Linked DNA regions of Oryctolagus cuniculus. The protein of the gene in region 1 interacts with the protein of each later gene in a biochemical or structural test. Links are inferred from orthologs where the notes say so. Each region holds a gene or a part of one and is shown on either strand. Other genes may lie near its edges.

Region 1 (3,651 bases):
GTTTAGCAAGACCCCCAGGCAAGTTGTCTTTATTCTGTCCGCTCACTAGGCTAATCCTCCGCCTGCAGCCACCCCGGGTTCTAGTCCTGGTTGGAGCGCCAGATTCTGTCCCGGTTGCTCCTCTTCCAGTCCAGCTCTCTGCTGTGGCCCGGGAGGACAGTGGAGGATGGCCCAAGTGCTTGGGCCCTGCACCCGAATGGGAGACCAGGAGCACCTGGTTCCTGGCTTCGGATCGGCGCAGCACACTGACTGTAGTGGCCATTTGAGGGGTAAACTAAAGGAAGGAAGACCTTTCTCTCTGTCTCTCTCTCACTGTCTAACTCTGGCTGTTAAAAAAAAAAAAAAGATAAAGTGCCTGCTTATGATGTTCATATTCTAATAAAGGGGAAGGGAAAAGTAAAACAAGATAATTTTGGATCATGGTAACTGCATGCTAATAACATGAAGAAATACAATGGGGGAGGGGAGCAGATAGCAACAAGACCTGAGGCGCTGAAACTTGAAAGGTGACAAAGCACCGCATAAAGATCTGAGAAGTGAGTGCCCCAAGCCAAGTGGACAAGGGAGAAGGCTCCCAGGTCAGTGGATGTTGGAGCGGGAGGTGACAGAATGAAGAGAAGGCCTGATGGCTGAAACAACTAGCGTCTGGGCTGTGCATGGCACTAAGGGAAAGGCATGAAGGCGGTCAGGACATTGGCGGCTTTACGGCTTTGGGAAGAAGTTTGGATCATTGAAAGATTTTAAAGGAAGAAAGGAAGTTACCTGATTTAAAGTTCTTATTACCACTCCAGCCGGTGTGTGTGTGAACAGAGTTAAGGAGGATGAGAACAGGAACAAGAAGCCCAGTGGTTTGGACTTGGGTAGGGGTCATGGGGATAGGAATGAGTAGGCTGAGATGTGTTTGAGTCACTGCCATAGAATCGCTGCCAGTTGAGATCTGGGGCTGAGGAACAGATCGATCAAAGAGGGCTTGTGGGTTTGGGGCTGAGCAGTTTGTATAGATGGCAGTGTCGGTTACTGAGATGAGAGTTTGTGGAAACCTAATAGATTAGGTCAGAGAGAGTCACGGTCCTCAGTCTGAGGGACAGAGGAAAACAGGCGTGAATCTGAAGATTTTAAAATCGATAAAGAGTAGTTTTTCAAAAACCACAGGTTTTAATTTAATGTTGCCAGCTACGTTTACAATGTGGATCATTAAGGAGGTGGTTTATGCACTGAGAACAGCAAGCATGGAATTCTAAGCCTAGATGACAGAAGAGTTTCACTTCCCACCTTCGCTGGGCTGTGTGAACCAGACAGGTCAGTCAGGAAAGCATGACAGTTGGGAATTAGCGTTCTGTTCAGCCTTGTCCCTGTGGGAGACAGAGGACTTGGACTCAGTGCAGAAACTCGGATTGGATTATGACTGAAGCTACACTCAGACTGTTAGTAGAAGCTTTCTTGAGAGCTTTGTCTTTGGCTACATCCCATTTCAGTATATTTGTGTCTTGGATGAAGGTACAGAAAGCATATCAATTTGGTGAATGATTTAAAGCTGCAAGGAATATTGAGTATGTCTGATCTGATGGCGGATTAAAAATCAGAAAAGTCTTGACAAGCCGGTGTGATAGGCTGAACTAACAAGATGAAATTTAATAGGGATCAATGTAAGGTCCTGCACTGGAATCCAGATTTTTCCAACTAGTCAAGTACAGGCTGGAAGAAACATGATTTAGCATAGCAGTTCTTGGGGGAGGGGAAACATCTCTAAGTTTGAGGATATCCTTCCAGGGCACTGGATCTGCTTTGAAAGCTAATGCCATTTATATGCTGCAGTGGTAATATCAAGAACTGGGAAAGTGATGCTTGGCCTTGATTATGTAATGGAAATTAAGTTTATTTTTCTTAATATGGCATCCAGGTGTCGCTCCCCCTCTTCGTGGAGGAACGACACTAAACCCTGCCTAGGCTTCATATCCGAGTCATGGCACCATTATGCCGCTCCCCCTCTTCGTGGAGGAACGACACAGGACCCTGCGCTGTTCTTTCGTCTGCTCGGCCCTCCCCGGGTTTGCTGCTGGTTCTTCCCGGGTTGGCTACTGTCCCTTCCACCTCCGTGGAAGGGCAGTTCCCCCTGGCCACATTCCCCACTTCCGCAGGGGAGCGGCACACTGCCAGCCGGCTCTCTCGGGGGCTGCACAGGTGTTCCCCTTAGATGTTCCTGGTGCATGCCGTCTCTCTCCTCCTTTATAGTCCTCCTCCGCCAATCCTAACTCGGCTGCCCACACGCCGAGTACGCTGCTCTCCTCCAATCAGGAGCGAGTCCTACAGTTTATTGGCTGAACTGGAGGCAGCTGTGTAGAAGCTGTTTTCTTCTCTCCCAGCGCCATATTGTGGGAGAGCAGATGCATAGAATAAGTCTTAATTCCAGTAACTCAGTCTAGTCCGGGTTGCTCCCCACATCCAGGAATAAAGATAAGCTAGGAGTCCTTTCACAGATCAATTAGAATGACAGAGATTCAAACCCGTACATTGGAGGAAGGTTAAAGTAACTAGGTTCCTGAGCCAGGAAGAGAGAAGACTTGGTAGATAGCTGTGACTTGGAAAGGGAGTTGGGGATTTTCTGATAGTGCCCAGGACAGAGCCTCAGCCAATGGATGGAATGTATAGGGAGAAAGGACCACTGGAAAAGCAGGGGGCCTGTCTCATCTAAACGCTGTGGTTCTTGGCTGTGTTTTAGATTTGTTGATTGGGATGTGTGGAAATAATTCCTTAATGTCATGGGTGATTGAACCAGATGACCTTTCCAGGACCTCCTAACCTTTACATTCCATGGTTAATCCCTTTCAGCTTCTTCTTTTTGTAACTTCTTTCCTTTTTCTGTGTGCTGGCTTTGTGGCAGCTGAAGAGGAAATCGCCGAGGATCTATGTAGGTTTTGCAGGAATCCGGGTTTCGTAGGTCAGGATCTGTGTACCACACTAGTTGATAAGCTTGTAGAGGGCCTCCCTATTTCGCATAATGATTGATTGTGTCTCTTCATTGTTGTTACCTTCCTAGGTGTCTCTGGGACGAGGATTTAGTGTCACATACCAACTGGTGTCAAAAGTCTGCCCTTTGATGATTTCCAGAAAGCACTGTGTTTTGAAGCAGAATCCTGAGGGCCAGTGGACAATTATGGACAACAAGGTACAGGAAATCACAGAAAGAGGACTAAAGATTTTTAAAATTTTTAATTTATTATTAATTTTTTTTGCATAGATAATTTATGAAGCAAAATGCAAACGGTTTACCTGCTGCCCTCCCACCCCATTCTCTTTCCCAGAGGCAACTACTGCTCTGTTTTGCTAGAGATTAGATGATGCTAAAATAATTTCCCATGACTTAGATTGAAGTTGGTGCCCTTAAAGTGAACATTTGCGTTGGAGGCCGTAGGTCCTATTCCAGAAACTAGATTAAATTGCTGTGGGAATTGACCCTTTTGATGCAAGATCCAGAAACCCTAGAATCTTCTACAGCTTTTGGAGTTCACCAGAGGGAGGAGAAAGAAAGTGAGCTGATTGCATTAAGCTCCTTTCTTTCCCCACTGCTTTAAATCAGAGCAAACTCCCATCCCCCTACTTGACCTGTTTTTCACTTTTTTTTATGTTTATTTTATATATTTTCATCTACTT
Region 2 (3,198 bases), on another chromosome or scaffold:
TAGAAGAAACCCTAAGGTTTCCTTACAGTTTTAACAATCTGTCCTTATATGATTCTATGTAAAAAGTAGACAATAACAAGAAATAGACTGTTTTGCTTAAAAAAAAAAAACACCCAATATGGGCAAAACTCAATGTTAAGTTTTCTCATAACATCTCAAGGTTAATTAGGTACTAATTATTTCTCTCACTTGTTTGTTGCATTTGTTTAGGATGACTGCTGTGCAGTTATCTTGAAATAAATATTGAGAGAAAGGATGGAACATACCTGGGGTCACTGGAATTACAGGCTAGTGAACAAGACTACACAGTGGAGGTAGGAATGTTGGGTTTCTGCCCTGGCACTGATTGTGTGTGTGTGTGTGTGTGTGTGTAAGTAGTTTTTAATGCTTTTACTATGATTTGTTACAAATTCTGAGCTGCTTTGTATTTGTGGTTCACTTGAATGTTTTACTAAACCAGAGCTGGGCACAGAAGTCCTGGAACAGATTAGACATGATTGTGTTCTTTCCCCTTGTTCATCAGAATCTGGACAAGACACAGCAGCCATGATGGCATAAGAAAGCAAATAAACCTTCCGAACATCCTTGTCAAAGATGTTACATTTTTAATTGAAAAGAATCTTCTAATACCCATGCCCTTGCTGGCTATTCAAACTACTTCTATACTTGACAGCCTACTGCATTTTTTTCTGACTAGTCTCCCTTCTTCATTTCGCCTTTGCTACAGTTTTTTTTTTAACCACATAGCATCCAGGAGTGACCATTACAGAGGGTGCGGGCACTCAGTGGTTACAACAACACTTGGGAACTTGCATCCCATGTTTGTGTGTCTGGCTCTGCTTCTGCTTTTGGCTTCTTGCTAATGTGTGTCTGGGAAGGCAGCAGGTGATGGATGCTCCTCCTCTCTACCCATGCAAGAGACCAGATTGAGTTCCAGGCTCCCAGTTTCAGCCTGGCCAAGCATTGACTGTTGCAGGCATTTGGGGAGTGAAGTAGTGAATAGAAAATCTCTCTCTGCCACTGTCTCTCTATCTTTGTTCTCTGCCTTTTAAATAAATAACTAAATGTAATTTAAGAGAAGTCCATACCAATAAATGTTTTTGTTCTTAGTGACTACCTGTGAGTAAATAGGATGTGGAATGTGTGACAGAGTGTCATGAATAGGGGAGGAAAAAAATCAGAGCCAAAGGACAAAGAATCACCAGGGAAGAAACAATGTCAAGAAAGGGGCAAAAACATGAAAAGGATTTGGGAGGAGAGTTACACTAGAATTTTGTCCTGAGTGGGAATAATTTTATTTTCCAATTTGCAAGATAATGGCACTGTTAACCACTGGTAATGTATACTTCCAAGTACTAGAAATTTTTACTTTTTAAAAGCAGGTTGTTGGGCTGCGTCGGGCTGCAGGAGAAGATGGCGGTCTCCACAGGAGTTAAAGTTCCTCGTAATTTTCGCTTGTTGGAAGAACTTGAAGAAGGACAAAAAGGAGTAGGAGATGGTACGGTTAGCTGGGGCCTTGAAGATGATGAAGATATGACACTTACAAGGTGGACAGGCATGATTATTGGGCCACCAAGGACAAATTATGAGAACAGAATATATAGCCTGAAAGTAGAATGTGGACCTAAATACCCAGAAGCTCCTCCATCAGTTAGATTTGTAACAAAAATTAATATGAATGGGATAAATAATTCCAGTGGAATGGTGGATGCACGGAGCATACCAGTATTAGCAAAATGGCAAAATTCATATAGCATTAAAGTTGTACTTCAAGAGCTAAGACGTCTAATGATGTCCAAAGAAAATATGAAGCTTCCACAGCCACCAGAAGGACAAACATACAACAATTAATTTTAATGGATCTCAAACTTGTCTTAAATCAACAACCTTCTACTCATATTAATGTCTTGATTAAATATCACAATGCAGAATACCCACACATTCAGTAAAGAATTCCAGCTGGTATATGTGACCCGGACATTTGTAATATATTTAATATATGTACACCCATTATGTTTTCAGGTAACGGGAGGAAAAATGCAGCACAATTTTTCTTTCTCTTGTTGAGGCACTGTCATTTAAACATAAACCTGGAGTGCTCCAAGTAGGATTCGGGTTTACAAGACGCAAGCGTGGCGAGACGTGTGAGATGGCAGTGGAAACGTGTGTTTCTGAAAAGTAAAAATCCCAAGAAGGACAAACAGAAATGGCATGCTTTTATCCATCTTGCTTAGTGAAAGAGCTGCAGTTGAAATTGTTTAAAGTAGCAGGTACAATGAATATTGTCACAAATTGTGTTAAATTTTAAAGCGGTGTGGGTGCTGACTACTAGTAGTATAAACATATGTTCAGGATTGTTTTGATACCTGTATTTATAATAAAAAAATGTTGGGGGGGGGTCGATGAATTTCTGTTAAAAGCTGTTCCTGTGTGTTACATGTAACAGACATGGTAAATATTTGTTTACATTCTTTGTTTAACAAACCATGCATTTAAGTTCAAGTGAAGTCAACAAAAAAAGAAAATAGGTGTATGGATATGTGATTTTGAGATTAAAGTTAGTCATAAAATGTAAATAAAATGTGGAAAGTGTCCTCGGGAAAAAAAAAATCAGGTTGTTGATGGTTTTTCTTGGTACCAAATAAATTGAAAAAGAAAGGAAAGCTGTGCATCTGCTAAGAAAAGGTGAAGCAACCGTTGCATAAGGCAATGGAAGCTGTTCAGCACAAGCCTTTCAGGGAAAGATCTGGTGTCTTATAATGTTACAGTTACTATGGTGACAATGCATTTTTAATGACACCATTAAATGGTGGTATAACTACTTGTAACCAAGGAGTGCTGAATACTCACAGCTGTGTTGTTTTGAGTTTATGTGACTTTTCTCCAGGATGGTTTTTAATGACTTCAAAATAAAAGTGTTCTATAACAGAACAGTACTTTGGTGTATAAAATATGTACATTTTAGAAACAGAAAGGACCTTAGAGGGCCTTAGAGGACGTTAATTCTCCCCATCTCACCATACACATTCACACACAGAGAATGAAAACTCCTACATGTTTATACTTTATAGATGAAAATCTAGAGGCAAAGATTATGTTGTTTTTTATCATATCATTTCACTGGTGACAGAATTAAGATAGCAGGTTTTCTGACTCCTAGAATAATTTCTTTCCACCATAACATGTGGTATCTTCCCC

What was found.
Region 2: the proteins of RNF8 (region 1) and ubiquitin-conjugating enzyme E2 variant 2 form a complex in vitro, tested with the Homo sapiens proteins (2 studies listed by BioGRID). The link is inferred for Oryctolagus cuniculus from reciprocal best matches to the Homo sapiens genes RNF8 and UBE2V2.

The regions. Positions count from the first base shown.
Region 1 is NC_091436.1:132,279,626-132,283,276, reverse strand, and holds part of RNF8 (E3 ubiquitin-protein ligase RNF8), read left to right. Parts: intron 1-3,037; coding exon 3,038-3,166; intron 3,167-3,651. UniProt on the Homo sapiens protein: E3 ubiquitin-protein ligase that plays a key role in DNA damage signaling via 2 distinct roles: by mediating the 'Lys-63'-linked ubiquitination of histones H2A and H2AX and promoting the recruitment of DNA repair proteins at double-strand breaks (DSBs) sites, and by catalyzing 'Lys-48'-linked ubiquitination to remove target proteins from DNA damage sites.
Region 2 is NC_091441.1:59,364,266-59,367,463, reverse strand, and holds ubiquitin-conjugating enzyme E2 variant 2, read left to right. Parts: upstream 1-1,373; 5' UTR 1,374-1,413; coding exon 1,414-1,851; 3' UTR 1,852-2,610; downstream 2,611-3,198. UniProt on the Homo sapiens protein: Has no ubiquitin ligase activity on its own. The UBE2V2/UBE2N heterodimer catalyzes the synthesis of non-canonical poly-ubiquitin chains that are linked through 'Lys-63'. This type of poly-ubiquitination does not lead to protein degradation by the proteasome.